7 linked regions of the Oryctolagus cuniculus genome follow. The protein of the gene in region 6 interacts with the protein of the main gene of each other region in a pairwise test. Links are inferred from orthologs where the notes say so. Each region holds a gene or a part of one and is shown on either strand. Other genes may lie near its edges.

What was found.
Region 1: the proteins of USHBP1 (region 6) and SERTAD3 interact in binary tests that used the Homo sapiens proteins (3 or more experiments, as listed by UniProt). The two-hybrid records come from large-scale screens. The link is inferred for Oryctolagus cuniculus from reciprocal best matches to the Homo sapiens genes USHBP1 and SERTAD3.
Region 2: the proteins of USHBP1 (region 6) and COPS4 interact in binary tests that used the Homo sapiens proteins (3 or more experiments, as listed by UniProt). The two-hybrid records come from large-scale screens. The link is inferred for Oryctolagus cuniculus from reciprocal best matches to the Homo sapiens genes USHBP1 and COPS4.
Region 3: the proteins of USHBP1 (region 6) and UBXN11 interact in binary tests that used the Homo sapiens proteins (3 or more experiments, as listed by UniProt). The two-hybrid records come from large-scale screens. The link is inferred for Oryctolagus cuniculus from reciprocal best matches to the Homo sapiens genes USHBP1 and UBXN11.
Region 4: the proteins of USHBP1 (region 6) and CCDC33 interact in a two-hybrid assay, tested with the Homo sapiens proteins (2 studies listed by BioGRID and IntAct). The two-hybrid records come from large-scale screens. The link is inferred for Oryctolagus cuniculus from reciprocal best matches to the Homo sapiens genes USHBP1 and CCDC33.
Region 5: the proteins of USHBP1 (region 6) and CCDC146 interact in binary tests that used the Homo sapiens proteins (3 or more experiments, as listed by UniProt). The two-hybrid records come from large-scale screens. The link is inferred for Oryctolagus cuniculus from reciprocal best matches to the Homo sapiens genes USHBP1 and CCDC146.
Region 7: the proteins of USHBP1 (region 6) and CCDC120 interact in binary tests that used the Homo sapiens proteins (3 or more experiments, as listed by UniProt). The two-hybrid records come from large-scale screens. The link is inferred for Oryctolagus cuniculus from reciprocal best matches to the Homo sapiens genes USHBP1 and CCDC120.

What each region holds. Positions count from the first base shown.
Region 1 is NC_091449.1:13,879,284-13,883,427, reverse strand, and holds the start of SERTAD3 (SERTA domain-containing protein 3), read right to left. Parts: upstream 2,801-4,144; 5' UTR 2,667-2,800; intron 1,752-2,666; exon of another isoform or gene 1,380-1,751; intron 1,136-1,379; exon of another isoform or gene 988-1,135; 5' UTR 979-987; coding exon 385-978; 3' UTR 1-384.
Region 2 is NC_091439.1:82,801,268-82,804,767, reverse strand, and holds part of COPS4 (COP9 signalosome complex subunit 4), read left to right. Parts: intron 1-1,211; coding exon 1,212-1,363; intron 1,364-2,278; coding exon 2,279-2,382; intron 2,383-3,500. UniProt on the Homo sapiens protein: Component of the COP9 signalosome complex (CSN), a complex involved in various cellular and developmental processes.
Region 3 is NC_091438.1:145,170,679-145,174,905, reverse strand, and holds the start of UBXN11 (UBX domain-containing protein 11), read right to left. Parts: upstream 2,801-4,227; 5' UTR 2,686-2,800; coding exon of another isoform or gene 2,649-2,685; intron 2,635-2,648; exon of another isoform or gene 1,573-2,634; intron 1-1,572. UniProt on the Homo sapiens protein: May be involved in the reorganization of actin cytoskeleton mediated by RND1, RND2 and RND3. Promotes RHOA activation mediated by GNA12 and GNA13.
Region 4 is NC_091443.1:109,375,177-109,379,363, reverse strand, and holds the start of CCDC33 (coiled-coil domain-containing protein 33), read left to right. Parts: upstream 1-1,387; 5' UTR 1,388-1,779; coding exon 1,780-1,800; intron 1,801-4,040; coding exon 4,041-4,187.
Region 5 is NC_091434.1:141,755,154-141,758,653, reverse strand, and holds part of CCDC146 (coiled-coil domain-containing protein 146), read right to left. Parts: intron 2,880-3,500; coding exon 2,751-2,879; intron 2,336-2,750; coding exon 2,198-2,335; intron 1-2,197. UniProt on the Homo sapiens protein: Essential for sperm flagellum biogenesis and male fertility.
Region 6 is NC_091447.1:65,254,492-65,258,230, forward strand, and holds the end of USHBP1 (harmonin-binding protein USHBP1), read right to left. Parts: coding exon 3,643-3,739; intron 3,516-3,642; coding exon 3,379-3,515; intron 3,193-3,378; coding exon 3,052-3,192; intron 2,976-3,051; coding exon 2,820-2,975; intron 2,728-2,819; coding exon 2,478-2,727; intron 2,253-2,477; coding exon 2,028-2,252; intron 1,395-2,027; coding exon 1,297-1,394; intron 1,120-1,296; coding exon 997-1,119; intron 744-996; coding exon 548-743; 3' UTR 501-547; downstream 1-500.
Region 7 is NC_091453.1:34,200,861-34,204,841, reverse strand, and holds the start of CCDC120 (coiled-coil domain-containing protein 120), read right to left. Parts: upstream 2,801-3,981; 5' UTR 2,430-2,800; intron 1-2,429. UniProt on the Homo sapiens protein: Centriolar protein required for centriole subdistal appendage assembly and microtubule anchoring in interphase cells. Together with CCDC68, cooperate with subdistal appendage components ODF2, NIN and CEP170 for hierarchical subdistal appendage assembly.

The sequences.
Region 1 (4,144 bases), on a different chromosome or scaffold from region 6:
GCCAGAGGCAGAGACTGGGTTTCCATGGCAACCTGGCAGCACATCCCTGCCCCCTCTGATGGGCCCAGCTTCATCTGCCCTGAGGGCGCCAGGGGTCACAAGAGGAGCAGGAAGTGGAGGGAGAGGCAGAAGAAATGTGTAAGTGGGAAATCGGACTCCCAGAGGCAGTCCTGGTTAAGGCATTTGGAAGAGATAAATTAACTCAGGAAGACGCACCTTCACAGAAGGCTGCGCTAACCAGACACACACACATGCAAGACTGTTTGTGGAACCCTGACATGGGAGGCGAGGGGGCCACAGTCCCTGCTTTGAGCCCCCAGCAAAACACACAGAGTGGTACCCGGGGATCCAGCCCGCCCAGAGGAAGGCCCCCCAGTCAGTGTCTTAGGACCCCAGAATGATCTCCATGATGTGATCCAGTTCATTCCACTCCCAAGAGCCTGGTGCACAGAAGAGGTTGTGAGGGGGCTCCGGCGGGGCCAGTGCTGGCTCCTTCTCCACCGCAGAGGTGTCGATGTCCAGAAAGAAGTCGTCCAGGCTCGCGTCCCCCAGGTACCTGGAGCTCAGAGCCTCTAGGAAGACCGGATCCGGCTGGGGCAGCACTGGATTCTGCAGGCCCGGGGGAGCCGGGGGGCCCTGCGGGGCTTCGGTCTCGTCCATCGAGGTCTCCAGCTCCCTGAGGATGGAGCCAATGGTGGCCGACAGGGAGAAATCCTCCTCGCCCAAGAAGAGGGGCTCGGGGGGCAGGGTGGGCGCGGGGGCCCGGCGGATGGCGGCCTGCAGCTGCTGGAGGGTGTTGTGGATGAGGACATGCCTGCGGAGGCTGGGGGCGCGCGGGCCCAGGCTGCGCTGCACTTTGTCCAGAGAGATGCGGAGCAGGGCCTGCTGGTAGCTCCGAAGGCCCGCTGGATTCCAGGCCCACTGCTCCTCCTCCTCCTCCTCCAGATCGGAGTGTTTCCTCTTCAGGCCCCCCACCATGACGGTGCCCTGGGGAGGGAAGAGGGTCAGGTCAGACGCACCAGGGCCGGTTCCAACCCCGCGTTCTCTGGCAGGCTCACGCAGCTGATGGTGAATGTTTTAATGACCGGAACCTGTTTACTCATCTGTAGAAGCGAGAGAACCTGAACTCCACAGGCTAAGGAGGGGAGGAAAGTGATCAGGATGCCAGCAAAGCTGGGCTCGGATCCCCCCCCCCGCCCCCGCCTGTTGCCCTCAGTGACCCTGCATCCCCCTCTGTGGAACAAGGTCCTAACTGAAGTCCTTCCGAACCCTAGAAACCGTTCTTCCACAACTCTCACTTCTTCAGGCAAGTCACCCACAGACAGGCGCAGAGACCTGGACTGCAAGTGGGGAATCCAAGTGGGGAATCCCGGGCTGACCTGTGCCCTGGACACTGCTCAGCTGCGTGACGCTGGCCTCAGTCTCCTCGTCTGTAAAACTGCTTCTCACCGCCTCGTCTGGGAGCTCCCACGTGCCCAGGCCCAGCACACACAAAGCGCTCAGGCGCCACTTACTCCGCTGAGTGCGTGTCCCACAGAGCTGCCTGGAGCTCCGTTAGGGCCCCTCCGAGCCCTGACTCTTCTCTCGCAGGCAGGGCATTTCTGTCCATGCCCTCTTCCCTAACGAACGGACGCGCTCACGAGAGGGGAACGAATCATCCCCGCTCCCCGCGCTCGGGCCTTCCCCCACTGCGCGCCCCGAGGAAAACTCGCCGCCACGAAACTTAGCCAAGCCCCGCCCCCGGGGGCCCCAGCCAACCAGACCGTGGCGCCGCCACAGGCCCCGCCCCTCCCACGGCTTCAGATCGCCGCGCAGGAACGCCCCTTTCTGGCCCGGGGGCTTCTGGGAAGCCCGGGCCAACAGCCGCCAGGTAGCGGCACTACAGTCCCCAGAGGGCTCAGCTCGCCGACCGGAGGACGGCCCCGCCCTCCCTTAGGGCATGCGCAGAGGGGCCCGGCCGGGTGGGGGATGGGAACCCGGACGTCCAGCTGCCGGGCGCCTGCCGCGCCCCGCCCCTCCGGTGCCTCCACGCCCGGAGCGCCCCTCCCCCACCCACTCTGCGGGTTCCGCGGATCCCAGTTCTCCCCCCCACTATCCCGGGGTGCAGGGACCCAGGTCAGAGACGACGAGCGCTCTCCGACCCGGCCGGTACGGGAGACGGCGCGCCCTAATTTTGAGGCACACCCCCAACTCCGTCCTCTCACTTTCCAAACTCCGCGTCCCGCTTCAAGCCCCGAAGACCGAGCTCTCTCCTCAGCGCCCTCTGCCCGCCTCTGCGTCTCGGGGTCTCCGAGAACCCCCGGCTCTAGCCGGTCCCCTTGCTTCTCCGACTGCTCGGTGTCCCAGCCCTGGAAGACCTCTCACATCTTCTCCCAGGAAGCCACAGAGCCCCGAATTCAACCCACCCGGGAGTCCAACACTGTCCTAGTCCTCGGATTCCCTGCCCCAAAAGTTCCTCGCCTTGGTTCTCTCGCTTCTCCAAACATCTCGAGTCGCAGCTCAAACTCTCGCCCCTTGAAAATCCTGCCTAAAGCATCTCGCCTCCCGTCCAGGGTCCCCCAGCCCCTACCAGTCGCCCTCCATCAGCGCCCTCCTCTACTGCCCAGGCCCCGCCTCCACCGCCCCCAGCCCCGGGTGTGGTTCTGAGCCGGGCGGCCGCCGCTCACCTCGGCTACCAGTTCGCAGCGACCAGCTCCGTTCCGCCCGCCGCGCCGCGCCCCACCAGCGCCGGGTAGGAGTCGCGCTCGCTGCCCCGGGGCCTCTCCGTCTGGCCTCGGGCCCGCCCAGCCCGGCCCCGGAGCCGAGCCGCGAGCTGCGATTGGCTGGAGCCTGCCCGCCGCGGCACGCCGATTGGCTGGGCGGAGCCGCCGCGGGACTCCCGAGCTGCCCCCGCCGCCCGCCCCTCGGGAGCGCCCAGGACCATTTAAAGGATTCCGACTCGGACGGGGCGGGGCCACGTGTGGAGGGAGGGGGGGGCGGGCGCACCGAAACCGCTCCCTGCAGCTCAGCCCCGGCCCTCGCTCCCGGGCCGTTAGCGCTGCTCTCTGCCGTCCCTTCCTGTCCAGCTCGGACCGGTCACCCGGCAAGACCGGCTGCTACGCCGCTGTCGGCTCCGCTTTCCGGGCGGGCGGGGCCGAGTCACTCGCGGAGGCCACGCCCCCGAGGCTCCGAGCCCGGGCGCGGCTGGGCGCTGGGGGATGACGCAGCTAAAGGCCAGCCAATAGTTAGGCGCGGCCTGCGTTGCCTGGGTGACCGCGGTCCCGCCCCTCCCGCACAGCCGGGGGCCTCCCGGTCCCCAGGACTCAGCGGCACGTCCTCTCGTGGTCTCTCCCTCTCTCAGGGGCTGCTCGCGGCTCCCCGCTGCCCCAGAGGCAGAATCTAAACTCGTCAGCCCCGAAGCGTTCCCGGTCTGTCCTTCGCCCGGGTTCGCTGCTAGTTTCTGTGAAATGGTTTCACTCGGGCTTCGTTTCCGCGTTCGCAGGAATTTTGTCTTCCTTCCCTGCTGCACCCCAGGGGCCTACAACAGCGCCAGGTGCACAGCAAGCCCTCAACATGGAGAGTGAAAGGTCTCCGGCTTTTTTTCCTTTTAAAGATTTATTTATTTGAAAGGCAGAGTTGCGGAGAGTAAAACAGACCTTCCATCTGCTGGTTCACTGCCCAGCTGGTCACAACGGTGAGGGCTGGGGCAGGCCGAAGCCAGGAGCTTTGAACTCCACTTGGGTGTCCTGTGTGGGTGGCAGGGGCCCAAGTGCTGGGCTGTCCCCTGCTGCTTTCCCAGGCGCATTAGCAGGGAGCTGATCAGAGGCGGAGCAGCCAGGACTTGAACTGGCACCCATATGGGATGGGGCACTGCAGGCGGTGGTTTAACTTGCCACGCCACAGCACTGGCCCAGGCCTCGGGCTCTTTAAACTTGTTTCCTCACGCTGAAAATGTGCCCTCGGTTCCCAGGTGCCTCTCACTGGAGGAACTCAGCTCAAAGGTCCCCTCTGGGGAGCCCTCCCCGGCTCCTCTGCCTGTGTCTCCCCCACTGTGGTCCTGGGCTGTCACTGTGTGTGCTGTGGGTCCCCTAACAACAGGCAGCACGGGTATCGTGGTCACCCACTGCTTGGTGTGGACGCTGGGTTGCTCAGCAGGTAGCCAGTG
Region 2 (3,500 bases), on a different chromosome or scaffold from region 6:
TCTAGTATTGATTAAAGTTGATATTGATTGTTTTAAAATTTTTTTTAAAATTTTTTTTCTTTATTTTTCAAATGCAGAGACAGACAGACAGAGATCTTCCAATGCTGGTGGACTTCCCAGATGCCCATAACAGCCTGGGTTAAACCAGATAGGCCAGGAGCCTAGAACTCAATCCAGATTTCCCATGTGGGTGGTAGAGACACAAGTACTTGAGCCATGATCTGCCTCCCAGAATGTGCATTAGCAGGAAGTTGAATCAGAAATGGAGTAGTGGCCTGCGCTGCACCTAATCCTCTGCCTGCGGTGCCGGCACCCCAGGTTGTAGTCCCGGTTGGGGCGCCGGATTCTGTCCCGGTCACTCCTCTTCCAGTCTAGCTCTCTGCTGTGGCCAGGGAAGGCAGTGGAGGATGGCCCAGGTCCTTGGGCCCTGCACCCGCATGGGAGATCAGGAGGAAGCACCTGGCTCCTAGCTTCGGATCGGCACAGTGCACCGGCTGCAACGTGCCGGCTGTAGCGGCCACTTCGGGGGTGAACCAACAGAAAAAGGAAGACCTTTCTCTCTGTCTCTCTCTCTCTCTCACTGTCTAACTCTGCCTGTCAAAAAAAGAAAGAAAGAAAGGAGGGAGGGAGGGAGTAAGGGAGTAGCTGGGATTCAAACCAAGCATCCATATGGGATGGAGGTTTCCCAAGCAGCAACTTAACTGCTGTGTGCCTCCTTATGTGTTGCTTTTATTAGGAAAATACAAATGACACTAAGTGTGCTCGCAGCATTTGCTTCATTTAAATTTCATGAAAATTATATCACTGTTTTCTTCTTTTACTCTTTTTTGGAACTGGATGGGGGGTCAGCATATAAAAAAAGATGTAGGTGTTTCTGTGCCTTAATATTATAGAAAATTAAGAGAAAGGAATGGTATAAAAGTCTCAGTTATTAAATAAAACCTTTTCCCTGACATTTCTTTTGCTTAGAGAAGTTATGATATCTTTACTGTTTCAGTATAGTCAGAAAAAAATCAAGTAATTCAGTGTAAGGAAACTTGATTTGTGACATGTTACAGTATAAGATGATTAGGGTATGGAATTCCTGGAATAACACATTGAAGGTTACACTAATACAGATATGTTTTCATTATTAATTTTAGGTAAGGGTTGATTGCTTAATGAAAATTTATAAATTACTCATGTTTTCTTATCTCTTTCTTTTTAAACAGTGGTAAATGAGAATGTCAGTCTTGTGATCTCACGACAGTTGCTGACTGATTTTTGCACACATCTGCCTAACCTGCCTGATAGCACAGCCAAAGAAATCTATCACTTTACCTTGGAAAAGATCCAGCCTAGAGTCATTTCATTTGAGGAGCAGGTAAGAATCTAGAACAACAGTTTTTGAATTTGAGATAGCGGCAGTTGCTTTGAGAATCTGATGCTATTAAATTCCTAATGGAGATAATTGTGCAATTTGATATTTGATGAAATAGAATCTCAACCAGCGTTTTTTGCTTTTAAAGATTTATTTTATTTGTTTGAAAGGCAGAGTTACAGAGAGAGAAAGGGAGAGACAGGGAGAGATCTTCCATCTGCTGGTTCACTCCTCAAATGGCTGCAATGGCCAGGGCTGGGCCTGGCTGAGGCCAGGAGCCAGGAGCTTCATCTGGATCTCTCACATGGGTGCAGAGTCCCAAGCACTTAGGCTATCTTCTACTGCTTTCCTAAGTACATTAGTAGGGAGTTGGATTGGAAGTAGAGCAACCGGGACATGAACCAGAACCCATATTGGATGCTGGCATCACAAGCAGTGGCTTCACTCACTGTGCTAACAGTGCTAGTCCTGTCTACCACCATTTTACAGTGTAAAATCTAATAAATATTAGAATGTTTGCAATTCCACCTGACATTTGCCCATATATTAAAATTTGATCTTACCAGTCAAATATTACTCTTTAAACAGTTTTAAAAAGTCAGTATAAAAAATTGTTATTAGACTACACACGGGAAACTTCAACATCCTATATGCAGAGACATAAAAGCAAATTTTAACATTTAAACTAAAATATTACCATAACTCACATTGCAGAAATGCATTGTTTCATTTCACTGCTTTGATATTATGTGAATGCGAAATTCATAGAAAAATTTGGGTGGTCTAGATAAACTTTGATTTGCCACCCTGTATGTTGAATAAGAGCATTGTCAAAATGGATTAGTTTATCATCTATTTATTTTAATTGACTAATGAGTTATGGTTGAAGTAATTTAACATGTATACCTTCTATTTCAGGTTGCTTCCATAAGGCAGCATCTTGCATCTATATATGAGAAAGAAGAAGATTGGAGAAATGCAGCCCAAGTGTTGGTGGGAATTCCTTTGGAAACAGGACAAAAGTATAGTAAATAGTGGATATTGAATGAATATATATACATATACATACACACATATAGGATATATAATTATTTACCTACATTTTTTTCTTACATTCTAATACAGGAAAGAGATAAACAAGTTATAAGTAAATTTTGTAGTATGTTAAAAGATAAATGCTTACTTACAGAGAAAAGTAAGGGGAAAAGAGGGGACAGATTGTATATATCATTAAATTGGGTAGTAGGGTGGTCCTGATGTCACTTTCCCAAAGATTTGAAGGAGAGAGGGTAGTGGATTAGAGCTATTTGAGGGAAGCACATCACTGGCTACTCAGAGAGATGGTTAATGCAAAGGCCCTAAGATGGGAACATGTATTTTCAAGAAGAATAAGGAAGGGGCTGGCACTGTGATGTAGTGGCTTAAGCCACCGCTTGTGGTGCCACATCCCATCTGGGTTTGGTTCAAGTCCTGGCTGTTCCACTTCTATTCCAGCTCTCTGCTAATGTGCCTGGGAAAGCAGTAGAAGATGGTCCAAGTGCTTGAGCCTCTGTACCCACGTGGGAAATCCAGAAGAGGCTTCTGTCTCCTGGCTTTGGCCTGGCCCAGCTCCAGCCAATGTGTCCATTAGGGGAGTAAGCCAGTGGATGGAAGATTCTGTCTCTCCCTTTTTCTCTGTAACTCTGACTTGCAAATAAAATAAATCTTTTTTAAAGATGTATTTATTTATTTGAAAGGCAGAGTTAGAGAGAGAGAGATTGATCTTCCATCTGCTGGTTCACTTCCCAAATGGCCACAGTGGCTGGAGCTGAGCCTATCTGAAGCCAGGAGCCAGGAGCTTCTTCCAGTATCCCATGTGGGTGCAGAGACCCAAGTATTTCTGCCATCTTCTTCTTTTATTTTTAAAGATTTATTTTATTTATTTGAAAGAATTACAGAGAGAGGTAGAAACAGAGAGAGAGGTCTTCCACCCGCTGGTTCACTCCCCAGATGGCTGCAATGGCCAGGGCTGCGCCAATCCGAAGCCAGGAGCTAAGAGCTTCTTCTGGATCTCCCACGTGGGTGCAGGGGCCCAAGGACTCGGGCCGTGTTCTACTGCTTTCCCAGGCCATAGCAGAGAGCTGGACCAGAAGAGGAGCAG
Region 3 (4,227 bases), on a different chromosome or scaffold from region 6:
CTTGTCTCGAACTGGCATCCATATAGGATGCCAACATCGCAGGTGGAGGCTTAACCTGTTACGCCACAATGCGCGCCCCACTAAATAAACCTTAAAAACAAAACCAACAAACAAAGAAGTCTGGGCTCTGGGGCTGGCTTGTGGTATAGCAAGTAGAGTTGACGCCTGCAATGCTGGCGTCCCATGTTGGCGCCAGTTTGTGTCTCAGCTGGTCCACTTCTGATTCAGCTCCCTGCTGGTGGCCTGGGAGGAACAGTGGAGGATGGCCTGTGTGTTTGAGCCCCTGTCACCCACATAGGAGACCCAGAGGAGGCTCCTGGCTTCAACCTGGCCCACACCTGGCTACTGCAGCTGCCTGGCAAGTGAACCATGGATGGAAGACCTCTCTCTCTCTCCCTTTCTCTGTGTAACTCTTGCAAATAAATAAATAAAATTTTTTGAAAAGCCACAAAATCATTAAAACTATGACTAAAAACAAAAGTCTGGACTCTGGGCCCTGGAGTGGGCATTTAGCCTAGAGGCCAGGGTCCCTACTTCCCACACTGGAGTGCCTGGGTTTGCTTCTGGGCTCTGGCTCCCTGGGAAGCAGCAGTGATGGCTCAAGGAACTGGGTTCCTGCCTCCAACATGAGACACCTGGATTGAGTTCCAGGTTCTCAGCTTCAGCCCTAGCTCCGCCCTGCCTGTCACAGGTATTTGGGAAGAGAACCAGTGAACGGGAGTCCCCTCTTTCTCTCTCTGCCTCTCAAATAAAGAAGGGAAAAAGAACTTGGGCTCTGGACAGGTTCTGTCACCCCCTGGCACAAGCTGCACCTGTTTCCTTTGTTGTAAAATGGGGATAGCAGGAACAGTGACAGCCAGGCAGGGATGCGGATAACACAGAGCACCCAACCCTATGCCAAGCCCAAAGGAAGCGCTTAAAAAATGAGTTGTGAGGGCCGGCGCCGCAGCTCACTAGGCTAATCCTCCGCCTGTGGAGCCGGCACCCCAGTTTCTAGTCCTGGTTGGGGCGCCGGATTCTGTCCCAGTTGCTCCTCTTCCAGTCCAGCTCTCTGCTGTGGCCCGGGAAGGCAGTGGAGGATGGCCCAAGTGCTTGGGCCCTGCACCCCATGGGAGACCAGGAGGAGACGCCTGACTCCTGGCTTCGGATCAGCGCAGTGCACCAGCCACAACGCACCGGCTGTAGCGGCCACTTGGGGGGTGAACCAACAGAAAAAAGAAGACCTTTCTCTCTGTCTCTCTGTCTCACTGTCTATCTCTGCCTGTCAAAAAACAAAACAAAACAAAACAAAACCATGAGTTGTGGCTAAAAACTCAGACAAAACACACCCATTTGTGTAGGCCCATGCAGGGTGAGCGCCATCAGCGTCACTGTCTCCCCTCTCCAGGGCTTCTGGGTGATAGCACCATGGAGCTGTCATCTCCCTCGACAACCATGCCTGCGCCCAACACCTCCCGAAGGACTTGCCTGAAGCTGTTTCACAGTTAACTTTTAAATTTAAGAAGTAGGAGTACGCTCTGAAACACATACACCAGTAGCAGTCATTTATTATCGTGATCAAGCAGTACTTACTGTACATAGTTGCACCTGCTATGCCTTTATATGGCGGCAGCGCTGGCATCACCACAAAGGCTGTGAGGACGTGGTGCCCATGATGTTACCATGGTTACCATGTCACTAGGCGGTAGGATCTTCTCAGCGCCAATACAATCTTACGGGAACACCCTTGTCTATGTGGCCTGTCATTAGCCAAAACGCCCTATGTAGCGGGTGACTGGAATGTTACACCCCGTTGCTTAGGGAACACTAACGAGAAAAAGACGTCCACACCTTGGAGATACAAAAGGCCCGCTGTGCAGACTAAAGTATTCCAAAGTGACTGACGTTCACACAGTAAAGGGGTGAATTTCAGTAAAGCCGTTAATCGCTTTAAAAAAGGAATTCCACCCTTGTTGTGGGACCCCATCATCCAACCACAAAATCCCATCCGTTACCAAGCCCTGGAGTGTCGCCCACTGTCGGTCACCCTGGTGGGACGCTCACTGGCCGGGGGCTGTCACGGTGGTGGCCGCTGGCCGCCAGCCCGGTGTCTGGATCCATCTTCATGTGGATTACAAAAGACCCCCCGCGAGCAAACACTGGGTCTCCCCATCAGTCTGCGGGCTCCCAAGGGCACGGCCGTGTCGTCTCCCGCCCAAGCTTGGGGCTTCCTGGGGACACAGCCCTGTCTCCCCCGCTTCGCTCTCGGGCTTGCAGGCGCTGTCTTCCCCTTCGGACCGGAATTTCTGGGTAAAGCTATGTTCGGCGCCTCGACATGCTGGGGACAGAACTCAGTACCGTGCATGACTGACAGTGTCCTCCGTCACCCCCAGGCCCTAGGGCCTGCCGGTCTTTCGCCTCCACTCCCTAATCCCAGTGGAAAATGCACGTCCATCACGGCTTAACCCTTCCCAGGCGGCCGCGTTGCCTCCTCCCGCTTCCACACGTAGTCGCCGTAAGCGTGGCCCCCAATCCGCTCGAGGGACGCAGGACGCCTGCTGGGAGTGGGGCAACCCCGCGGGGCTAGAGGGCCCTCGGGGCTCTCGGAGCGAGAGCTCGGGTCTGCGTAGGGGTCTCCTGACGCAGGAAGGCCTTGGGCCGGGACTCACCACGCAGGGCCAAGGAGCCGTCCCGCGGCGCCGCCATCTTGTTGTCACGCGGTTTCCCTGGCGACCAAGACCCCTTCACTTCTCATTGGCTACTTCGAAAGGGTCTCTGAACAACCAGCAGGCAGCGAAGGCGGGTTCAGTCGCCGGTGCTCGAATGCTATTGGCCCGCTGGTCTAGCCTCTCTGGGTTGGCGGGGGGGGGGGGGACACTAAAAATCCCAGAATGCACCGCTTGGATGAGCCGCTTCGGGTCTGCGGAAATGGTGCTCGCTCCTAGGTGCTGCTCCGGAGACGCCGCGTGGGGAGAACCTGGGGTTCGGTTAACGAAACTGCTGGAAGCCTCTGAGCTAACTGTGTGACCTCCACGGCGCCATTACTGTGCTGAATTGATCTTGGGGAGAATTCCTTCTCCCTCTGAGTCTCTGGCTTCCCAGAGATCGGCGCAGTACTTCGAAGGGGCTGTTTTGAGAATGAAGTCAAACGAAGCAGGTGCTTCATAAACGTTTCTTTCTTTTCTTTATTTTTTTTTTAATTTAAAGATTTATTGATTTATGTGACAGGTGGAGTTAGAGAAGTCTTCCATCCACTGGTTCACTCCCCAAATGGCCACAACTGCTGATGGAAGCCAGGAGCCAGGATCTTCTTCCAGGTCTCCCACGTGGGTGCAGAGGCCGAAGTACTGGCGCCATCCTCCACTGCTTTCCCAGGCCTTAGCAGAGAGCTGGATGGCACGTGGGGCAGCTGGACCAAGGGGCGCCCACATGGATGACAGCACTGCAGGGGGAGGCTTCACCTCTGTGCCACAGTGCTGGCCCCCTAAACGTTTCTTTCTCGACCAGACGGCGCCCTGCAGAGGCTCAAATGCTAGTTCCTCTGCGTAAGAGTGGGGTCAGGCACTCCCCTCGCCCTCCCAGAGCCGCCTCTGTAAAATTTAGGTTTTACAAATCAGATTACATTATGTCACCAGGGCCATCGGAGGCCGTCTAGCTGAGTATGGGCTTTGGTGCCAGGAGTCCTGACGCCCATCCCTACCTGTAAAATGGGGATGAAAACCACCCCGCAGGTTTGCTGTGACGTTAAATGAGAACTTGCATCGTAAGAGAAGGACGTTTTCATAAAGCATTTCCTGCTGTCATCGTCATCGCCTCTTGAGCCTTCCAACCTTGATTTGCTGGGACTCTGGGTTCTGGTAGCTCTAGGGAAAAGTAAGAAGAGCCATAGATTCCTTCAGAACGCAAGTTTGGTTTTTTAGAAAGATTTATTTATTTGAGAGGCGGAGTTACAGAGAGAGGGGGAGGTCTTCCATCCACTGGTTCACTCCCCACATGGCAGCAACCGCCAGAGCTGTGCCGATCTGAAGCCAGGAGCCAAGAGCTTCTTCTGGGTCTCCCACGTGGGTTCAGGGGCCCAAGCATTCAGGCCGTCTTCCACCGCTTTCCCAGGCATTTGCAGGGAGCGGAATCGGAAGTGGAGCACCTGGGGCTTGAACCAGTGCCCATTTGGGATGCCGGTGCCACAAACGGAGGCTTAGGCTACAACACTACAGCACCAGCCTCCAGAATACAAGTTTGTCTCTCTCA
Region 4 (4,187 bases), on a different chromosome or scaffold from region 6:
GTGTCCGTGGTGCGGCCAACTCCAAGAGCCCGCGCCCTCGGCAGCCAGCCCCAGGCCCCCATCGCCAAGACTGGGGCCGTGGGGGCTCCCTGTCGGTGTGAACTGTGGTGAACAGGACAGTGGGCTCATACGGGGCGCCCACCACAGGTGGTGTCCTGCACGGCGGGGAGTCTGCTAGAAGGACCCTGCCCCCAAATGCTCACCTGTCCTGCAGAGCCAGGGTTGAGCCCAGTCTGCTGGATTCTACGCCATCAGCATTTGTTTTGTTTTGTTTTTTGTTTTTTGCCTACTTGGTGGTACCAGGCCGTCCTGGGCAGGACCAGCACAGAGCATGCCCTGTGCAAAATGCAGACGCTCACGCATTTAGGCCAAGAGCCACTCGCCAAGCTCACAGAGGTCACCCCTGTACAGGAACCCCGGGGAGGTCAGAGGGCAGCCCCCCAGAGGTTCCAGGATCCCACCACGGCCCTGAAATGACAGCTGGCGTCCAAGGGGCTTGGCTGGATGTCACCGGCCCACCCCAGATGCCCCGTGTCTGCACCCGCTAACAGGGGCCCACCCAGCAGAGCCTCCAGGCTGTGCCACCTTGCTGTCCTTGCCGCCAGCATCGGGGCTGCGCCGTCTCAGAGCTTGGCGGCTTTCACCTCTGGGCTTGGCCCAGCTTGCGGGGGGTGGAGCAGGGGAGGAAGGAGAGAGACACAGCCCCTTTCCCTCAAGTGAAAGCAAAAGGCAGTGAGGCTCAGTGGTCACAGGCTGGAGCCAGCAGGCCTGGACGCAGAAGCCCGGCCCTGCCACTCCCAAGTGGGTGACCCTGGCGAGTGTTTGTCCCCCGAACACGTGCGTCCTCGAGGGAGGGGGCATAGACTTGAGGATGAGCTGAGGCCGTACAGCAGGGGCGGGGAGGTGACCGGAGGCGCTCAGGTCCAGGCGCGGGGCTCCTGGCAGAAGGCAGAGGCGTTCCTGGTCAGGGGGCCCTGAGGGAGGGGACTGCGTGGGCAGCGGGCGGGCGAGGGGGCAGCACTCACTGCCTACAGGGTGTGAACTCCCACACAGGGGGGAGGGGCTGGGGAGAGGGCTCAGCAGACTCTGTGCTGGTTGCCGCGGCCAGGGCTGGTGGCAGCAAAGCTGTGAGCGCGTGCCAAGGGTGAGACTGTCGGTGCCAAGTGCAGCGCCTGCCCCCGCGTGGTCTCACGGGGCCCTCACGGCAGCCTCGAATCCCTGCTGCACAGGACCATGGCCGAAGCTGTGAGACCACTCAGATTTGCCCGCGCTGCTGAGCCAGCACCCGTAGCTTCCGGCTTCTGAGCCCACCCCCTGCACCTGCGGAGGGGCATGTGTGACTTGGCCCTGGCCTGTGACATCACACAGCGTTGCCCAGGTGACCTGGCCGGGTCTCTTCCAGGTCTGGGCAGAGAGAGGGCCTCCCCTTTCATCACCTTCCTGAGGGCGCCTGGAGTCGAGTGCCCGGCTGGGGACCCTTGCCCAGCTGGCCATGGCCCACATCCCCCAAGTCGCCCCCACCTCCACCCCCTCTCGCTCCTGAGAAAGCTCTGGACCCCTGCCCCCAACCTGCGCCCCACCCCTGCCCCGTGCTCAGATCCAGGACTGGTATCTGGCACCCCTGTGAGCGCAGGGACGCCCAGCACCACTTGCCACCCCCAAAGACACCAAGGCTGCAGGGCCAGCTGTCCAGGCAGGACGGACGCCTGGTCACTCACAGCACCAGGGACCCTTCCCCAGGGTTGTTGACCAAAGCTGGATGCCCCTGCCCCCGAGGCGATGGGACTGAAGAAGAAAAAGGTAAGGTGGGGGTGCACGGTGTGTGCACAGCACACTGCCCCTCGCATGCAGCCCCTCGTTCTGACGACTCCCGAGCCTGCGCACCAACGTCCCTTCTCACAGCCTCAGCTTTCGCATCTGTGAAATGGGGCCCCAGAGGGTCTCTGTGGTGCCTCCAGGGTGGGTGTCCTAGCACCATGGGCCAGTGGATACCTGGCTACCACTGCCCACACTGCTGGTTGCTGGGGTCACACGGGCTCAGAGAGCCCCCTGAGATGGGGCCTCCCCCGGGTCCCTCCCTGGCAGGGCTGGCTGCCAGGCTCCAGGCTCCTGCCCCAGGCTCCTAGCTCCTGCCCTGGGCCCTTGGAGAGAAGGAGCTGTGCTGTGCTCACTGCTGTGTCCCCAGCGCCTTGCACACAGCAGGTGCTTAATGAACCCTGTGGCCGAGCGCAGGTCTAACATCCAGAATCTCGGGTGGGACCAAGTCCTCCGCGTTGCCGAGCCTGGGACAGCAGCGTCATGTCCGCGTGGCAGCAGGCGGGGCTGAGGGCTCTGAGCACCTAGGGACACCCCCTCTGCACTTGGGCTCTCCCGGGGGGGCCAGAGCCCCCTGTGGCACCTACATTCACAACCCTGGATTCCGACGCCTCTGGTTCCGGGCTGCCGTGCCCAGAGCAGGCCCCCCCAGGCACCCTAAGCTGTCGGCTGGGGCCCCCTCCCCACCAAGCTGGGTTCAGGGATGCAGAGCGTGGCCTCGAGTGTGATTCGTGGTTCCGGGGAACACATTTGACAGCGGCCGGAACTCCCTAGGAGCTTCCTAATGTGTAGCGAGGGTTACATCTTCCTGCCTTTTTTTAAAGATTTATTTTGTTTATTTGAGAGGCAGAGGCAGAGAGAGAGCTCTTCCATGTACTCATTCCCCCGAAGGACTACAACACGGGCTGGGCCAGGTCAGAGTCAGGAGCCGGGAACTGGACCTGTGTCTCCCACGCGTGTGGCGGGGACCCAACTGCCTGGGTCAGCACCTGCCACCTTCTCACTAGCAAGGAGCTGGGTTGGAGCCAGAGCAGCCGGGACGCGGTCGAAGGTGGCGGCCTTCCCCGCGCTGCGCCGGGCTCCAGCTGCACCCTGCCGCTCCCCGGCCGGTCCTGACCCACACCTTTTAATGGTGATGTTCGCGGAGCTCAGGACCCCCTGAGGACTGGGGACATTGGTCTTTTTGTAGACAGGGCGCCTATTTGCCCCCACGTGTCTTTTCTCTGCATTGTGGTGAATTGCAGCCATTCTAGAAATTTCTGGGGAATTTCAAATGTAATCCCACCCCTCAGACTGCCCTTGATGGTCTCCTGCTTTGAGTCCCTTTAAAAAAAAAGAATTTATTTATTTGAAATGCAAAGTTACAGAGAGAGAGAGAGAGAGAGATTCCGTCTACTGGATCACCCCCCAATGCCCACATCAGAACTGGGCTGACCTGAAGCCAGGAGCCAGGAGCTTCCTCTGCGTCTCCCACGTGGGTGCAGGGGCCTGGGCACCCCGGGCCGTCTTCTTTTACTTTCCTGGGCACGTTAACAGGGAGTTGGATCGGAAGTGGAGCAGCCGGGACTCAAACCTGCACCCCTGTGGGATGCTGGCGTGGCAGGCAGCAGCTTACCCCGCTATGCCACAGTGCTGGCCACACAGGCCACTGCTCTGGCTGCCGCCAGCCCTCCCGAAGATCACAGCTCCGAGGCCTCCATGAGGCGGACCCCAGGATGGGCCCCAACTGCAAACAGGTGTTCCAGGTCCCGCTCCGCTGCGGCGGGCCCTGCTGTATGCTTGGGGGCGGGGATTTTGTCTCTCTGAGTGCCCCACCCCCAGCTATAAAGGGGCTTTACCTGGGCATCAAAGCTCCCGGCAAGAGGCAGGCACCTGGTTAAAACGCCACTTGGGAACGCCCACATCCCATCTGGCTCCACTTCTGATTCCGGCTTTTTGCGTGTCTGCTGTGTGCGATCCAGCATGGGGGTGGCCGACGTTTGTAAACTGTGAAGTGCTGTGCACAGGAGGGACCTGGCGGGACGGGTGGGCAGAGCTGAGCGCATGGGAGAGACTGACCGGCCGCTTGATGTGGCGCGTGGTGTGGGACCGGGGAGAGAACGGGGATCGGAGGTGACAGCCGTGCCGCCCCAGAGCAGGTGGAGGAAGAGCGAGGGAACTGGCAGCTTATAGGGGACAGAGGGACAGAGCGGAGGGGGGGCCACTCAATGCTGCTGTCCCCGCAGGTTGCCGAGGGCCCAAAGGAGCCCCTGGACGTCGCCCTGAGCACGGAGCCCACCGCCAGCCACCTGGCTCCCCTCAATAAGGAGGTGGTCGCAGTCACCATCCACGGGGCCACCCACCTGCCTGCCTGCGGGGACGGCTCCGAGCCC
Region 5 (3,500 bases), on a different chromosome or scaffold from region 6:
TGTTTTCTGAAGGAATGAATGGACCAGGACAGATTGGGGAAGCTCATTTTCATGCCCCAAACTATCCCTACCTTTCTCTCTTAATAGGCATACGCTGGTCATAGCTGCACATCTGTTGAGAGAAATGTTGGTGTTGGTGCATTCCTGGCCTCTGAAAATGTAGTAACTGATTATTGTAGACAAACTCCCTTAAGGGAGCAGGGAATATAAATTTTTATGACTGTTCTGCTTGGAACTGATTTTTTTTTTTTTTGACAGGCAGAGTGGACAGTGAGAGAGAGAGACAGAGAGAAAGGTCTTCCTTTGCCGTTGGTTCACCCTCCAATGGCCGCCGCGGCCAGCGTGCTATGGCCGGTGCACCGCGCTGATCCGAAGGCAGGAGCCAGGTGCTTCTCCTGGTCTCCCATGGGGTGCAGGGCCCAAGCACCTGGGCCATCCTCCACTGCACTCCCTGGCCACAGCAGAGAGCTGGCCTGGAAGAGGGGCAACTGGGACAGAATCTGGTGCCTCGACCGGGACTAGAACCCGGTGTGCCAGCGCCGCAAGGCGGAGGATTAGCCTAGTGGGCCGCGGCATCGGCCCGGAACTGATTTTTAAGGAAGCATGTACTGAGTGAAAAAGACTTGTCCTGTAAAGCCTCAATGCTAAGTCATTACCATAAATCTAATTCAGTTAATGCACTTGTGTGTCTGTGTGTGCAAAACTGGCCAACCTCCTTTTTCCTCCATAAATTCAAATAAGCTTGGTATCAAGTTCTGAGACTTCCCATATTGCTGTTCACCTGGGAAACTGGCACAAGGAGCCATAAGCTATTTAGGAAAAGTGATACCCCTAAGTGGCTAAGGACACTTACATGCTCAGCTATGTAAGACTTGCAACAGCTTTAGCTCATATCACACCCATCTCACAGATGAGGAAACTGAGACTTCAGATCATTCATAGGTCTAAATGTCTTTCTACTACTTGCCAGTTCTTCCTACTATGAAGAGATTGTGGGTGGCGAGCAGAGGCAAATGGAGAGCATGGAAGTTGGGGGAGGAGAGAGGTTAATCAGAGGCTCGGACTCAGCTCGCTGGGAGCGTCTCTGGCAGCAAGCGACCCCTGTTTCCATTTCTCTAGCATTGTGGCTGCCTCCAGAGAGATTCCGGAAAACGACTTCCCCAAAGAAAAGGAAATTGACTCTGCAACAGGAAGACAGATGACGCTTAAAGAAACACGGGCAAGGCTGATTCAGGCAGCGTTCCTGAGCTTAAGCACACTTAGCATTCCTGATTTCACGAGGGAGAGTTGTGGATGACGCAGCAGCCGCTGGGATGCATGATCAGCGGAGGCCGTGAGGGTTGAAGTCCAAGGGCGAAGGGTGGCCAAGGCAGCCCGAGGTTTGAAGTCATTTTCCGGGTAGTTGCTGGAACTGTTCCCGGAACAAGACTGCCTGTGTACGTGTTCAGTGGATTTGCTTCCACGTCTTGGGAAACCAGAACAATGAGAGATAACGGCTGCCCTTAGGAGCCCATAGCCTGGGGTGCGAGCGTTACCATTATGTCTTCACAAGGCCTCTGGGGGGTGTGTGCGCGCGCACGCACACACATGCGTGGTCAGGCTCAGCCTGAGGGAGCAGGCACGAGTGTGTTCAGTCACTATGATATCGCTGGCTTGCAAGGGCTGGGGGTCCACCTGCTCTGGGGTGCACGGTCTCGGGACACTGCCTCCCAGTCCCCAGCCTTTCTCCCCCTGGCTGTGTCCTTCAGTGGAACTTTCTATCGGTTCCTCCTCGACCCTGTGGCTTGGAAGCCCGCGTCTTGGTATTTTAAGGTTATTCAAGGAGGAAGCGCCATGGGACTGACCTTTCCTTCCCAAGGGGGCCCGGTGGTCCCTCCCCCACCCATGGTGTGACTGCCGTTTCGTGACCAGTCCCCGTCCCCTCCCCCGTTGCTGGTTCGGGCCGAGTTCTGGAGCAGAGCTGCTTGGTTGGATGGGAAAGGGAGGCCTTCCCGCCACTAGAAAGCACGTGAACTGGAAAGGCTACAGGGTCATGTTGGAGCAATTATCTTGCTGAATCAGACTCCCAAGCTGTTACCGCAAAGCTTAGGTTTTCCTACTAGCAAGTGAATCGAGTCAGCAACTGAGATGGGAGCTTTTTTTTAGGCAATTCTCTAACCGAGGAGCGGAGCGGAGGGAGGGGGCGGGGCCGGCAGACCTTCTTGGCCAAGAGCAGCGTGTCCTCCTTGCAGGCCTGAGTTTTGCTGCACAGCCTGTCCGTGAGCCGGGACACCTGTTCGTAGATGAAGTCCTTCTCCAGTAACTGCTCCTCCTTTTTGGCCAGCCGAACTTCCAGCTACGGTCGAAAAACAGTTTTAACAGGAAGAGAGGAGGAGACACGTTTGCTGAAAGACCTCACGGGTATCCCCCTTCCAGATCACTCTAGGGGTCCTGCCCCGGGTGGGGTAGGGCTCTGCTTAGTCCCTAGCTAGCACCTGTGTCTTTCAGCTCTCCTGCTATTGGTCCCTGGAGAAAGGCAGCTGAAACCATTCTAGGGGCCAGAACCACTCCTCTGGGGCTGTAAGAGGAAGGAACCCTTGGACTCTGGAAACCACTGGATTTTTGCCTTCTCGCACTACGTGGCTGAATCAAGTTGGGACATTCTCCCCTGTGAGCTGAGGGTAGGCCTGCCCGCATGACACGCAGCCTCTGTGGGACTGCAGGTGCCAACGAGGGGGCACGGGGAGGTGATGTCTAGCAGCGACACTCACCTCATCTAATTTTTCCATTATTTCTTCTTCGGTCATATCCTTCCCCGAGAGGAAGCGGGTTCTGTTCTGACCCTCAGGATTTAGAAACTGTTTCTCCAGGTGTTGGATTCTGTCTGTACACTGGGAGAACTGGCAGACAAGAGAGAAGCAAGCACTATTAAAGAACAAGCCTACAGCTCAGTGCATCTTCAAGGCACACAGCCCAGGCCTTGAGGGTCTGAGCAGGACCCACCCAGGCCAGGGTGGGAGAGTGAGCCAGCCCTGTCTTCTTCCCACGCCCATCAGCTGGGCCCCTGGCAAAACTCGGCCTCCGCTCTGCTCACTTAAGGTGCTGTGAGGCTGATACCTACAGTTGGCCAATAGGCAAGGGAGGACTTTCGGGACCATCAGAGGAAGTTGAGTTCCCATTACGTGTTCTACAAGGGTACTTTTAAAAGTTCAGGGAAAAATGGAATCGAAAGGTAAGTTTTCTTCAATTGCAAATTTTCTTTAAAAAAGAAAACCATGCATTGTTTAGCATAACCTACATTTTTTAGAAATGTTTTGAAGGCCACTCAGATTTGTGGGATGCTTTGTGGTTGCAGGGCTCAAATTACACAGCCAGCTGGGCTTTGGGCTCAGTGGTTAACACACCTGGGTCCCGGGGCAGAGTACCTGGGTTCAAAACCCAGCTCATGACTCCAGCTTCCTACTAATGCAGGCCCTGAGAGGCAGTGGTGACGGCTCAGTAACAGGACTCCTGCCACCCAT
Region 6 (3,739 bases):
AATCAGTCGCCTGCAATTAACCTGGCAGGAACGCCTCCCGCTGCCCCCAACCTCCGCGGGAGATCTGGAAGCTCCCAGGCTGCCCAGGGCCCGGCAGGCCTGTGCCCCACCCCCTCCCCGGAAGGACACGCATCGAGAGTTCCAGACTTTTCTCTGATGCCTGCCCTCAGCCTCCACAAACCCTGATTCCTCTTCCAGCCGACCATCCACGCCTTGAACCTGAACCTGAACCCCAACCTTGGGGGCCTCCAGTTGTTCTGGATTGTTCCCTGGGAAGCAGATGGGCAGGGGACGAGTGTCCTGTCCCCAGGGGCCCGCCCTGGGTTTCTGGACAAAGAAAGGACTTGGGGACATCAGCTCGGGCTCTGCCACCTTCCCTGTCCCCTGGATTGATTGTTCCGGGTCCCGGGGGGGGGAGGGGGAGACCATGACCTTCACAGCCTGACCCCGGTGGCCCAGGCAACCGGTCCCCACCCATGAGGACACATGCACCCCAGGGCGACAAGTCACTCCAGGCCGGTTTATGACACGTGGCTGGGGGTGGAGCCTACAGCAAGGTCTCCCCAAGCTGGGGGGGAGGAGGCGGGCAGGGGCACCCGGGCTGTTCCAGCGCCCGGGCCGTGGCTTCCAGTGCTGCCAACTCCTCCGCCTGCCGGGCCTCCAGGATTGCCACCTGCTCCTCCAACTTGCGCCGCTGCTCCTCCTGCTTCCGGTGGGCGCCTCTGAACGCCAGGACCAGGGCACTGCAGGGTGTGGGTGGCTGAGCCGGGGAACAGCGCCCCACCCCAGAGAACAGCACCCCCACCCCACCCAGGGCTGCGGCGGGGGCGGGGCGGGGCGCCGCGGGGGCGGGGCTACGTCCTAGCTGGCTCCGGGCATCCTGCAGGAAAGGCGTGGCCTGCACTGCACCCGCTCACTATCTTCCAAGTGGGGGGAACGAGGCCCAGGGACACACCCGCGGTCAGCAGGGGTGGGCTGCGGGGGGCGGCGGCCCACCTGTGCGCCTTGCATAGATCGCTGTTCAGCTCGGCGCTCTGAGCCCGCCGGACGCGCCCCTTCTGAGCCACCTGCTCCAGCTCCCGCCACAGAGCCCGCAGCTGAGCGCGAAGATCCGCGGCCCTGGCGCGGGAGTGGAGACAGCGGGGCTCCGGCCGCGGCCCGACCCGGTCCTCCTCTCCGCTCCCCACGCCCCTGCGCGCAGGCGCACGCTGCCACACCACACACACACACACACACACACACACACACACACGTCCCCACCCCCGCCTCCTCCGCAGAACCCACCCAGGCACACACCTGGCGAGCGAAGCGGCCAGCTCCTGGGCTAACCTCTCCGGGTCCCACGCCCTGCCCACCTGGCCTCCCTCGGTGGCGTTGGGGACAGCAGGAGGACCCTGTAGGAGACAGAAGGGAGGGAGGTGACCTCTGTCTAGAAGTGCTCAGCCCAGCCTGGGCATAGAAGCTGGCCTGGGGGGGGGGCAGCCAGAGCCCCTCGCTTCCCAGAGCCCCCATTCTGCTAAGAGACCCTCAAGTCCCTGATAAGGGAGATAAGTCACAGGGCCGGGGTGGGGTGGGGTGCCGAATATTGCTCCTTTGAGGGCAACCCAGGAGGGCTTCCTGGAGACGGTGGACATTCCTGGTGGCAGCACCGGCTTGCAGGTGGGAGGGGTGATGCGAAGAGCCCCGTTTAGAAGCCTGGGGCAGGGGCGGTGTGGTGGCACCGCGGGGCGGGCTGCTGCCTGGGACAGCCGTGGCCGTATCAGAGTGTTGGTGGCGTCCCAGCTGATCTGCGTGCGCCCCAGCTCCCTGCGCATGCGCCCCCTGGGAGGCAGGGGCCCACGACTCCAGGGCTTGGGTCCTGCCGCCCACGTGGGAGACCCGGATGGAGCTCCCGGCTCCTGGCCCAGACCCGGCCTTTGCAGCCATGTGGGGAGTGAACCGGCAGATGGAAGACCTCTCTCCCTCTCTCTCTCTCATCCACTGAACCCCTAGGGGCCAAGGGCAGCGACCCCCGAAGGGCCGCTCACCTGGGGCCGCTCCTCCTCCTCCTCCTCGCTGCTGCCCGCCCCGCTGCTGTCCCCCGCGCCGCTGTGGGGCCCCGCGGCTCCCAGCTGCGCGCGCTCCCACTGTAGCTGCTCCAGCAGGAGTGCGTGGGCGGGGCCCTGGGCGCGCAGCGCCGCCTCCCGCAGCTCCAGGCCCCGCTTCTCCCGCCGCACCAGCTGCAGCTGCAACATCAGGTCCGCCAGGGTCTCCTGAGGGGTCGGGGAGGGGAAACTGAGGCTGGCGAGCACGTTTGGGAAAAACTGGATTGAGAGGTCTGTGAGTAACAAAACTCCTATTCATCCCTCAAAACCCCAGCTTCAATTCTCCCTCCAGGAAGCCCTTCCCAGCCCAGCAGAACCTTTCCCCCTCCCCATCCCAACCACACCTCTGTCGGTTCTGACCCCCCCCCCCCAGGGACCACAGCCCCTGTGTACCCGTGTGGCCACCAGTTCCCTCTGTATCTCCATCTTCTCCAACCGCGGCAGGGCCGGGCCGGGCTGGGCTTCCAGCATGGCCTGCACCATGGCTTCTGCGTGGGGCATGGTGGGCGTGGGCTCCACGGTGGGGCCCGGCTCTGGGGGGGTCTTCACCAGAGCCTGGCGCTGCCGCAGACGCCGGGCATAGCCCTGCAGCAGGGCGGCCACTTCCTGCGGTGTGGGTTTATCCACACTGCTGCCCTCGGGGCTGCGGGAGGAGAGGAGGAGTGGGTGCCGCAGGCCATCACGGAGGCCAGCCCCGGGGAGCCCCAAGGCCCAGCGCGGTCCCCGGGCGCCTACCTTGGCTGTGCCTTCCGCGGTGCCGCGGCGTCTGCGCCGCCCTCCTCCTGTGCCAGCAGCCGCCACGCCTCCCTCTCAGTGGCCTCCAAGTCCCGCGCTCCGGAGCTGGCCTCGTGCAGGGCCAGGAGAGCCGCGCACACGGCCTCACGGTGCTCACTGCGGGACGGGGGTCCTGAGCGCCCTCCCACGCCGTGGCTCGCGGCCCCTCCCCCGCGGGGACCTCTCCCCTGACCTGTCCTGCAGCGCCAGCCGCAGGGCTGTAGCCTCGGCTTCCCGCTGGCTCAGCCGCATGCTGAGGCTCTCACACCGGCCCTTGCGCCCTTGCAGCACGGCCAGTAGCAGCCGGTTGAAGCATTTGAGCTTCTCGATGTTTCTGTCTCGGGGTGGGGGAGGGAGAGGGAAAACGAGGGGACTCTTTGGAGGGGGGGAGCAGCCAGGGGCCAGTTTCCACCCCGCTCCTACCCCGTTTAGACGCCCATCCCCGGGGCTTAGACGCCCATCCCCGGGGCGGCAGGACAGCGGCCGGTGCCCTTAAAAGCTCAGCAGTGGTGGCGCTCACCCGCGGAGCTGTTCCATCTGGGCCTCCAGGATCTGCATCTCGGGGGCCAGGGGTCGCGAGGGGAGAGAGCCCAGGATGTGCACACTGGAGTCACTCCGGATGCGCCGGAGCAGCGGGTGAGCCAGGGAGAGGGAGTCCTGCAGGGAGGACGTGTGCCCTGAGCCAGCCAGATGGCCACCGAGAACCCAGGGCCATGCAACCCCCCAGAGCCAGGATCCGGGTCTCCCCTGCCTGGATGCTGCGGGTTGCGCCTCTCGCACTCACCTGACCCCCCCAGGGCTCCCCATCCGCCCCAGAACTGCTAGAACCACTCCCTGAGCCTCCAGCGTGGCTGTGGGTGCGCGGAGACAGGGGCTCCAGC
Region 7 (3,981 bases), on a different chromosome or scaffold from region 6:
CTCACTACTCTTCTATGAAAAATGTAAGCTTGAGGCCAGTGATGTGGTGCAGCAGGTTAAGCCTCCACCTACAGCACCAGCACCCCATTTGGGTGCTGGTTCGAGTCCCAGCTGCTCCCTCCTGATATGCCTGGGAAAGCAGTGGAGGATGGCCCGAGTCCTTGGGCCCCTGCACCCACATGAGAGACCTGAAAGAAGTTCCTGGCTCCTGGCTTCAGCCTGGCTCAGCCCTGGCCATTGCGGCCATTTAGGAAGTAAACTAGCAGATATAAGATATCTCTCTCACTCTTTCTCTCTCTCTTTCTGCCTTTCAAATCTTTATTAAGATTTATCTATTTATTTGAAAGGCAGAGCTATAGAGAGGCAGAGGTAGAGAGGTCTTCCATCCGCTGGTTCACTCCCCAAATGGCTGCAATGTCCGGAGCTGCGCTGATACAAATCCAGGAGCCAGGAGCTTCTTCCAGGTCTCCCATGTGGGTGCAGGGGCCCAAGGACTCGGGCCATCTTCTACTGCTTTCCCAGGCCATAGCAGAGAGCCGGATCGGAAGAGGAGCAGCCGGGGCTGGAACCAGCACCCACATGGGATGCCAGCACTGCAGACAGCAGCTTTACCTGCTACGCCACACTGTTGGCCTCATAAGTAAATAAATCTTAAAAAAAAATGTAAGCTCAAGACATAATTGAGTAACATATTATGCTCTAACTTCTCCTCATCCATCCTCAGAATCAAGGAGACTGAAGAGAGAAGGCGAAGGAAGCTCATGGTATTGTTGTCATTGCTACTGCTGGATAGACCTCACTCTCTCAATCCAATGCTTGCCTGTCTCCCACCTCCCCAGACCAGCCTCCCAGAGATGAGGTGAACTTAGCACCAAGATGTTTATTGCTCACTTCCAAGAAAAGGGGAATAAACCCCTACCAAGTCCTGAAGCCTCTGGCCTAGAATAGATTTTTTTTTTTAGGGGAGGAAAGTAAGGGATCCCACACCCAGGATCAAGGTCAGGGATGGAGGTAACATGATCTAGAAGATTCAGACAAACCCCTAGGGCCCTCAGTCCTGCATATTTTGTAAACCCTTCCTCCCAACGTGAGGCAGCCCCCCAACAAAACACAGCTGGAAACATGACGCAGACCTCTCAGACTCTCCAACTTCTAGAGAATCAATGAATAATTGAAGGTGTTCTTTCACACCCGGGGAGGGCAGGGGGCTGATGAACAGTTCCAGGCCCTCCTAGGGCAGGGCGAGAAATGCAAGGTCTATGTGAGATCACTGGGGTGCAGGTGTGGGAAATCCCATACAAAAATCCTATCAGCTACACAAGACTCACAAGGCTGCTTCTTCACGCTAAGGAAAGCACTTGTGATGTACTTCAGAGGTCTTAAGACCCGTAGAACCTTCAAGTTTATGGGCAGGGAATAATGGGACCCCTGCCCTGAACTCAGAGGGGATGGGAAGTAGGTATTAGGAAAGGGAGAGGGAGATCTGACAGAGTGTGGAAGAGGGGTCTAGGGTTGGGATGGGATAAAGCGACAGGAAGGGAAGGAGTACAGAGGACAAGACAGAAACATCTTGGGATGGAGGTCAAGAGGCAGGACAGGAAGTGAGCCAGAACACTGCTCAGGGGATGGGATGGCTAAGATTCAAGACAGGGTTAGAGGCAAAGTACAACAAAACAGCAGGGCGGGGGACAGCATCCCTACAGAACAGAAGCCAGTTGTCAAGGGAGGGAACAGGAAAAAGGGCAGGTTAGGGATAGAGGTCAGGAACAGGAAAAGACCAGGAGAGAGTGAGGACTGGAATGAGAATGGTGATGGGACAAGAAAAGGGGGAAAAATAGGACAGGATTGGGGCCAGAGCAGGAGACAGAGAGGGACATATACAGGTGGTAAGCTGGGATGGAGACTGGAGTAAGGAGAGGGACCAGGGGCACAGTACAGGGCAGGGTGAAAGTACCTACGTCAGGTTAGGAATCAGGACAAAACTGGATCAGATTGGGGTTAAGGAAACAAGAGGGGCGGAGGTTCAGAGACTGGGTAAGAGTTAAGGTCAAGCACCAGGACATAACAAGATGAGCCTCAAAGCTGAGACGGGCTCAATCAAGAATCAGAGATCAAGTCAAGGATGCTAAGGACAGAACTGGATGGGGTTTGGGGTCCTGACTGGATTTAGGGGGACAAAACAGAGGATGAAGATCCCACCACCCCAGAATGTGGTTAGGTTAGGGGTTGGACCACAGGTCCTGAGGCCAAAGCTGGCTGGGGTTCGAGATCTCAATAACATGTAGTCAGGTCAGAGGGGGTCAGGGGTGAGGCCACGGGGTCAGAGGTCGTGAATGCCAGCGCAGGTATATCCTCACCAGCGTTTCCGGGCCCTCAGCCCACCCAGTCCCCTCCCTTGCTCCCCAAGTGTGTGCGGGGGTCTTACTCACCGAAGGTCCTCACCCAGAGGCGTAGGCGGGGTCGGTGCAGGCCGGCAGGGGTAGTGGGCGCGCCCGTCCCTCGCTGCGCCCTGCTCGTCCCCGGGCGCGCGCCTTCTCCTGTTCCGCGCCCTGCCCGTGGGCCGCGTTCAGCCGCGCGACCGTTACCGTGGGGCCAGACGGGGGGCACCCGGGGGGTGGGAGAGGAGCGCCGGCCAAGCCGCCGGCGCTGGGCCCCCGCCCCCCACCCTGCACTCGGGTCCGCCCGCTCCCGGCGGCACGACCACCGCCGCCGCTGAACGCGAGCTTCGGGGTGGGGGGTGCGGGGGGCGGGGCGCGAGACCACAGCAGCGGCGAGGACGAAGTGCGCAGGCGCCAGGTCGGCTCTTCGATTTTCCTGCCCTGGGAGCGCCAGGAGTGAACAGGCTGGGAGCGCGTGCGCACAGACTTTCTTTAGGGCGGCGGAGTCCTCCCCCAGCCCTGCCATGGCCACGCCCCCTCGGCGAGCAGATAGGCACCCCCCCATAAGTCACTCTGCACGGACCCCTAGGCGGTACAAGCTGTACCCCATGCTGCTCTCTATAAGCCATCACCACACCTCTAAACTCTCCCAGCTTTCCTTGTCGCCATCCCCAAATGCACCCCAAACCACTCTCCATCACCCTCAAAGTACTGTCCACTGATCCGAAGCAGGACCTCTGATTTATCTTCCATGGACATCCAAGCTGCACCAATAAACCACCTCCCATTGACCTTCAAGCTGTGCCTAAATCACACTGTATTGACGCCAAGCCTTTATCCCTTAAATGACCCTCCATGACTATCAAAATTACACCCAGATCACCTATAGAATCTCCTGGTGCACCCCCAACTGTGTTCCCACAATCTCCAAATCACTCTCCATTTATCTCTGAATTTCAATCTTCAAACTATCTTTCGTTCATTCTTTCTTTTTTCTTTAAATGTATTCCCCAATTCAATGTAGGCTGTCACAAAGAGAAAGTGCAGGGATTTTTCTTTCACATCCTGGTGCAAACCAAAAGAACAACAGCAAATTGTTCAAGGTCTATCAGTGGACGCAGTAAGCTATCTTTCATTATCCCCCAAATTATGTCTTCAAATTACTGCCCATTGATCCTAAGTAGTACCTCCAATCCATCCTCCATGGACTTCCAAACCGCACCAAAACACTACCTTCCATTACTCCCAAATTGTTCCTCAAACCGTCTGCAGTTAGCCCTGAAGCCATTAGCCTTCAAACAGCACTTCCAAATCATCCTCCAAATGCCTCCAATGTGCACCCAAAACACTGTCCATTGATCCCAAACCACTCTCCATGTACCCTCCAACCATACACTATGAATCCCCTACTGGCTCTGCAAGAGTCCATAACACCACTCCAAATATTACCAGCTACCCTCAATGTGGGCGTCACTCGCACCTCAAATCAATTCCAACTGTCACTTGCTCTGTCTCCAAACCATGCTCTATGGATTCCACCACCATCAAATGACCTTCCATTGACCTCCCCTCCTGTCCTCACAAAATTGCCTTGCAGAACCCC